Danio rerio: one gene and its partner. Each later gene encodes a partner of the first gene's protein in a complex. Links are inferred from orthologs where the notes say so. Each region holds a gene or a part of one and is shown in the gene's direction. Other genes may lie near its edges.

Region 1 (3,567 bases):
TGATATTTTAGATCTCTCTCTCTCTCTTATCATTTTATTAATTTAAAAAAGTTTTTGGAATGATTAAATTGGAATGACATGAGGGTGAATCATTAAAACAGAATTTTCTTTTTTGGGTGAACTAACCCTTTAATGTTTTGGTGTGGTTAAGTGTTTGCAGAGAAGCAGCTTCTTTAACATTGTGTTTTATAAATTCAGGTGAAGACTGGAATGAGGTATTCCACCAGAGAGTAGTGATTTATTGCAGAGTCAGCGACCTCATCTGCAATATTCAAAGACCTTTCCCACTTTTTCCAGGAGTTGCTTACATCTTGAAGCTTCTGGACCAGTATCAGGAGTTTGACTCCCTCCACTGGTTCCAGGCTGTGAGGGAAAAGTATGTGAAGGAAATGAATGCAGTGGTGAAGGAGCAGAACGTTCAGTCCACCAGCCAAGATGAGAAGCTCATGCAGACAATGAACCTGACTCAGAAGAGACTGGACGTATATCTGCAGGTATGAAAGCATCTTCATTGCTTTTTCAGCAATAATGAACGTCACCTTGTTTATTGACATCGTCTTTGTGTTTGTAGGAGTTTGAGTTGCTGTATTTCTCACTGAGCAGTGCTCGGATTTTCTTCAGAGCTGATAAAACAGCAGCAGAGGAGACCCAGGAAAAGAAGGACAAAGGTTGGTTGATGGAATCGTCTTGAAGTTGTGTTCTTAGAGTTACCATCCTGTAAGTTTAAGCTTCAATTCTGATTAAACGCATCTAAACCTGATAGAATTTACAGAGAGGTGTGTTGGAAATGAGTATTGCATGGAAGATCTCTAGGAAAAGCTCTCCATGTATTGGACTTCTGTGGTGTTCAATCATTTAAAATCCAAAACGTCACCATGCGTTCATTGTGTTTCATGTTCTGAGGCGCAGATCATTTATAATAAATTAATAAAGGCCCACAGTGGCTTCTCCTACTTACGCAAATGTCATTTTGTCTCTTTGAAAGTTTCCACCAATTCATCAGGAAGTGACATTTCTGTTGGCTTTCAATGGATGGAAACGGTGCTTTATTTGCATATGTTTTGCAGACAATTGTATCCTGAAGGCGCTGCTGTGTATCTGGATGATAATGTAGCAATACACACAGCAAGACTGGTGACAGAGTGGTTTGATGAGAAAGTCAAGTTGAACATCTCCCATGGCCTGCATGGTCACCTGATTTAAATATAGTTGAGCCACTTTGGGGTGTTTTGGAGGAGCGAGTCAGAAAAGCCCCCAGAAAAAGCGAGTCAATGCATTTTCATTGTTTTGACAACCGGGTGTCCCTAGCATGTGCTGTTTTTTTATTATTATTATTTTTTTTTAAAGTTTTTCCATTACTAATGTGTTAAATACTCATTGCTTCAATATTTGTGCACTTAATGGCTTAAATGTTCCCTCATTCAAAAACTGAGGTCCCATAAACCGCCTTTTACTTCACTTTCACTTTGTCAGATAACATCCCACAACATGCATCCAGTGCAGACACAAGTCATGCCTCATAGTACAGTATAACAGTGGCCAAGCCAGTATCAGCCAATAAATGATCTACTGTATTGATCCCGCTGATCCATTTTCAGATGTGTGGTTATAAATGTGGGCTTTTACATGATGTAACGCATAACATACAGCAGATGCTTACTTTAAAAGAGTTTATGCTAGTTTATTCAGTATGTTGATGCACTTCCAACTGAAACAGAATATTGAGCAGGGGCGAGGCTTTCTTTTGCATGTCATAGCAAGCTAAATAGCAAACTAAATGGTAAGAGAGAGTATTAATACGCAATTGCTATGAAAGTCCTCAACAGAAGGACCCCAAATGATCAGACTTTCATTGAAGATTACCAAAACAAACCAATTTTTCTCAGTGGATTAACTAAATTGTTCACTTTAAGAATAACAATGTGAGCTAGCAAAATAAACATTGTAAATTTAGATTAAGCGCACTGCTTTTGAAATAAAGCTTAGAAAAACTGAATATCCACTCTGTCTATACATTGATTACAGTATCCCAAATATAAAGTGATCGCAGGGCAATTGTTTTTTGCGTTTAAAGTCCATGTGAAATCAAAATTTATCATGTTAATTTGCCAGTGCACATTAAGTACGTTTAAATCAGGGGTGTCCACACTCGGTCCTGGAGGGCCGGTGTCCTGGAGTTTAGCTCCAACCCTAATCAAACACACCTGAACCAGCTAATCGAGCTCTTACTAGGCATACTAGAAGATCTCCAGGCAGATGTGTTGTAGCAAGTTGGAGCTAAAGTCAGCAGGACACCGGCCCTCCAGACTGACTTTGGACACCCCTGGTTTACGTGGACACCAATAATCTGATTTTAATACGATTAAGACAATACTCTGATTAAGAGTCTACTATGTAAACAGCGATTTTTGATTAATTTAATCTGACTAAAGTCATAATCGAACTAAACAGAAATCGAATTAAGAAGTGGAGTATGCCGATTTTAGTCGAATTATGAAGTGTAGTACAGACATGTAAATGCAAACTATTACCGTCATGGATTTTTTACACTATTTTTTTGCACCTATCAAGTCAGTAATAGACCACAGACCCCGTTATCGTGAAATTCGAAGGGTTTTTTTTTTTCCATACATCATACAGTTTTAAATTCAATAAAAACAACACTCTTCCAGCAGTTCATACTCACATCCAATATCTTGTTTGTCACAGGGGGCATGCATGAAATGTTCCTGAATGAAAGTGAAAGTGCCAAACTGCAGTTAAAGTCGACAAATAAAAATGAAACACTCAAAATTACACAAAACTTTGTGTCACACAAAAGTTTGTTTAGGTAATATTTAAAATCTGACTATTTGGTCCGACGTTTTTCTCTGAAACTGCGTCCCGAATGGCACACTATACACTATGCACTTACACACTCAACAGCATAGTATATGCATGTAGTGTCGTCCCAAATGGAGCACTAATGTTTTTATACTAAACGAAAATTCAATCCGTTTCTCTGATGACGTTTGACTATTGCCAAATCAGTGAAATAAATGACCAAACTATCAAATAATACCTGGCATGAGTATAACCGCGTTCACCATTAGGAGGCGTTATAATCACTCTCATAGGAGAACTTTGGTTTCACAATCCAAAATAAATAAAGTTATCCAACATGTGTGCTTGATAGCTCCGCCCCTTCGGCTACATGAGCAAACCTGCGGTCATTGAGTGCGTGAAGTGTCCATCATTACACACTTCATTTTAACCGGCTGAATGAGTGCATCATCCAGGAAATTAAAGTACACTTACTATTGTTAGCTTTCAGTGTGAACGCACTACTTACACAATTTATACTACAAAATGCCGTAGAATAGTGCATAAGTATGCAATTTGGGACACAGCTTGATAATGTCAGTTTGATGGATTCAGCCATAAGACTCTCAACCGTTACTCCCCTCTTATCGTTAGTTTGCTACAAGGTAATTATGCTTAAAAAGAAAGCCCCACCCCTACCTAATATTGTTTCAATTGGAGTTTGAAACATTTAGATGGATATCTATGAATGTTTTGACTAAAACA
Region 2 (4,284 bases), on another chromosome or scaffold:
AATTATTTTAACATGTTCATACACTCTCAGAAATAAAGGTATGCAAGCTGTCACTGGGGTGGTAGCTTTTCAGTAGGTACATGTTTGTACTTAAAGGGTCAATATTGGTACCTCAACAGTAGATATTAGTACCTAGGAACACTTTTGTACTTTTTAGGTACTAATATGTACCCTTGAGGTATTAATATGGATAAGTTTTATATAGACAAATTTGTATCTTTAAAATATAAATAATATTATATATTATATATAATTATATATAAATAAATTATATATAAAGTGTTATAATAATTGATAAATATCTCAGATTTTTTACTTTTCAACAATTTCACAGTAAATAAAGATGTAAAACTCGATACAAAAAAAAACTGTTAATGTGGGAGATGACTTAGGAAATTCCTGTTTGTGTATGTACAATGTTGCCTATAAAATGAAGAAATTAACAATATATTCAAGACTTTTGTTGGATTTGTTTTCATAATAAAAAATAATATATTTTAATGAAGGCTGCACGGTGGCGCAGAGGCACATTCACCTCACAGAAGAAGAAGAAGAAGAAGAAGAAGAAGAAGAAGAAGAAGGTCTATTTGAGCCTTGGCTGGGTCAATTGGCATTTCTGTGTGGAGTTTGTAAGTTCTCCCCATGTCGGCATGGGTTTCCTCTGGGTGCTTTGGTTCCCCCACAAGTCCAAAGACATACGTGATTTGGGTAGAATAAATTGTCCGCATGTGAATGAGTGTGTGCATGGATGTTTCCTTGTGATGGGTTGCATGAAGGGAATCGGGTGCGTAAAAACGTGCTGGATAAGTTGGCAATTCATTGCACTGTGGCAATCCCAGATTGATAAAGGGACTAAACCGAAAAGAAAATGAATAAATGAATGAATGAATGAATGAATGAATGAAGGAAGGAAGGAAGGAAGGAAGGAAGGAAGGAAGGAAGGAAGGAATAATAAGTTTTGTACTTTTAAAAAGTATATTTGGCTAGATCCTTCCAGAAATTGTTTACAACGTTGCATTTAAACAATAAATGGCAAAGGCTCTCTTTTTCCACACTGCAGACCAGATATCCTCCATTTCAATGTACTTTGATAATAACGATTTTACTGGGCAAATTGAATGTAGTATTTTAAAATGAATTTCCTCAATTTTATTATTAATAGTGTATTTGAAGGGAGTTAGACTCTTTTCCAATTAATATTAACTGTAATAGACTTCCAGGAAAATTTGTCTCTAGGAGTCATTTTATTTTGCTTCTGAAAAATAATACGAATATGTTTTTAGTACATGTTTTATCATTCAGCCCAACACCTTTTAAATGTAATTTTGGGTTTACAACAGACAGAATTATAGCAAATATGATTTGTGTGTTGGTGTTGTATTATTTGACGTCTCTCCAGTTACGCGCCAACGTCAGAAGTCACGTGCTACGTCTGTGCGGAAGTTTTCATCTTGAAAGACAGTGCCGAGCGCTTTCGCGAACCCGAACGTTGATGCATTTTGCACTTAAATGGTCAGGTAGAGTATCACCGTCTACTTACTGTTATTTTATAGCCAGCAATATGAAAACTGATGTCTTAAAATCCTCCGTCAATGTCTGGTCGCTGTGTTTTGTTTTGTTTTACACCGGATGGTCGCGTGATGCAGATCAGTGTCGAAATCAGCTGATGTTTTAATATAGCTGTTATATTATTATTATTATACACTGTTTTAAGGAGTATGTTTTGCTATACACAACAAAACACTGTTTATACACCTTTATCCAAGAATATGTTGACTTATCATGTGACTGTCATTTGGTAAAGCCTCTCGGTTTAGTTTCTGAATTAGTGTTTGTGTTTCTGTATTAGATCAGATATTATAGATTGGATTCAGATGTGTGACACGTGTATCTGCGATTCCCCTATTTATAATTAGCAAAGATAATACTTTTCTGAAACTATATTATTAAGGAGAAAGTCTGAATTTGATAATATTAAACCAGCTGTACCTCTGTGGTAGTATTTGGGTTGCAAAAAGTGTAGTAATGCTTTAATTTCACTTTAATACTTTGATTTAGTAGTTTAAGCATAGTATAGGGACACCTTTTCATAGATTGTATGATTTAGTTATTAAGGAGAAAGTCTGAATCTACAAATATAAAACCAACTTTACCTCAGTAAAACTATCTGGGTTGCAAACAGTGTAGAAATGTATAGAGGTAAAATTGCTTTTATATTCGCACATTTGTTAATTTAAAACTCTGTATATTGTTTACCATGTTACTTTGAATATTAGATCGGAATTAGCATGCAAGTATGACTTGAAAACAACATTAACACTGTTTATTTGACTGTGAACAATGTTGCACTTTGATAGTCATTGGCAGCTAATATGCTTTCGCTATTTAAAGTTTGCAAGTATTACTTTTATGAAATTATTAAAGGGGAACGTCTGAATGTGCGAATATAAACCAACTTTACCTCTATTAAAAATGTGGTTTAATTTGATTTTAATACTTCGTTTAAATACTTAGTATAGGGACACATTTTCACAGACTAAATGATTCGGTTATTAAGGAGAAAGTCTAAATGTGTGAATATAAAAACAACGTTACCTCAGTAATCGTATTTAGGATGCAAAAAATGTAGTAATGCATTTGAATACTTTGTACAGTATAACGACACATTCACAGATTGTATGACTCTATTTTTAAGGAGAAAGTTTAAATGTGAGAATTTAAAACCGACTTTACCTCAGTAATAGATTTTCGGTTTCAAAACAGTGTAGTAATGTGTTTTTAATTTATTTTTAATACGTTAAGCATAGTATAAAGACACTTTTTCACAGATTGTATGATTCAGTTATTGAGGAGAGAGTCTGAATATTATGCAAATATAAAACCAACTTTAGCTCAAGAATAGTGTTTTGGTTTCAAAGAGTGTCGAAATGAGTTTAATACTTTGTTTTAATACTTTTTCACAGATTGTATGGTTCTATTAACGCGAGTCTGTATATGAAACCAACTTTACCTCAGTAATAGCATTTAGGATGCAAACAGTGTAGAAATGCTTTTTAATTTTATTTTAATACTTTGTTTAATACTTTAAGCTTAGGATAGATGCGTTCTTTCACAGATTGAATGATTCAGTTATTAAGGAAAAAGTCTGAATGTGTGAATATAAAACCAACTTTACCTCAGTAGTAGCATTTGGGTTGCAAACAGTGTAGAAATGCATCTTAATTTCATTTTAAAGCTTTCTTTTAATGCTTTAGGCTTAATATAGGGAAACATTTTTCAGATTAAATGATTCACTTGTCTGCGTTTGTGTGTTTAGGATGACACAGAAGCGTTACCTGGAGGGACAGGTGTACTCTGTTCCTCTCATCCAGCCGGACCTGAGGAGAGAAGAGGCTGTGCATCAAATTACTGATGCCTTACAGTACCTAGAGATGATATCAACAGACATCTTTACTAGGTAACTCTTTCTGGCACACTCATTTTTAGTAAAGAGTGCTGTTTTTTGCAGTGCAGGTTCAAGCATCTACAAGGACAACAATATGGCAGTTCATGCAAACATTGTAAAAGTGCTCTTTTTAACTGTTTTACTCATCAGAATCTTACCTAAAAAGTTCTTGATTTTCTGAAATATATTTTTAATATGATTTGTTTCTGTTCTCGTTTGCAATGCTAACATTTTCAGTGGCACCATCTCCCCAAAAATTGGACAGTTAAAAAAAAAAATGTTTTAGCACACATAGAAAAAATGCAACTTTTTATTTTCAAGTTATGAAATAAAGTTTGCAGTACATTATGGCAGCTCACGCGAACACTAAAAGTGCTATTTTTAAGTTTATTCAGCAAAATCATACCTAAAAAAATGTTTCCCTTGCTTCAATTTGTTCAATATGTTGATAAAATGCATTAACATTTTTATTTTTATGTTATGAATTAAAGCATGTTCACAAGAAAATATGTTTAGGATATATAATTCATTCATTTGTATTTATTTGTATTTTTATTAATTTATACAGATTATGTACACTTTTTGAAATAAGTTCAAAGTTAATAAAAGTTTTTTTTTATGCACATAAAATATTTTAAAACCAGCAGAAAAGACATTTATGTTACAAAAGAGTGCAGTTTCAAACAAATGCTGTTTTGAAACTTCGTTTAAAAGTGGTTAAAAAGGTATTCTAGTTTCCAAAATAATTAAGCAGCACAGCTGTTTTTAACATTAATAATAATGAATCATGTAACACTGAATACTGGAGTGATGATGCTGAAAAATCAGCTTTGACCTCA

What was found. The genes of interacting proteins can lie anywhere in the genome.
Region 2: washc4 (region 1) and wash1 share a complex: the UniProt entries of both Homo sapiens proteins name them as parts of the WASH core complex. The link is inferred for Danio rerio from reciprocal best matches to the Homo sapiens genes WASHC4 and WASHC1.

The regions. Positions count from the first base shown.
Region 1 is NC_133200.1:31,096,654-31,100,220, reverse strand, and holds part of washc4 (WASH complex subunit 4), read left to right. Parts: intron 1-297; coding exon 298-494; intron 495-571; coding exon 572-668; intron 669-763; coding exon of another isoform or gene 764-813; exon of another isoform or gene 814-957; intron 958-3,567. UniProt on the Homo sapiens protein: Acts as a component of the WASH core complex that functions as a nucleation-promoting factor (NPF) at the surface of endosomes, where it recruits and activates the Arp2/3 complex to induce actin polymerization, playing a key role in the fission of tubules that serve as transport intermediates during endosome sorting.
Region 2 is NC_133193.1:7,640,608-7,644,891, forward strand, and holds the start of wash1 (WASH complex subunit 1), read left to right. Parts: upstream 1-1,430; 5' UTR 1,431-1,509; coding exon of another isoform or gene 1,510-1,517; 5' UTR 1,518-2,548; intron 2,549-2,629; 5' UTR 2,630-3,316; coding exon of another isoform or gene 3,317-3,317; coding exon 3,318-3,457; intron 3,458-4,284. UniProt on the Homo sapiens protein: Acts as a component of the WASH core complex that functions as a nucleation-promoting factor (NPF) at the surface of endosomes, where it recruits and activates the Arp2/3 complex to induce actin polymerization, playing a key role in the fission of tubules that serve as transport intermediates during endosome sorting.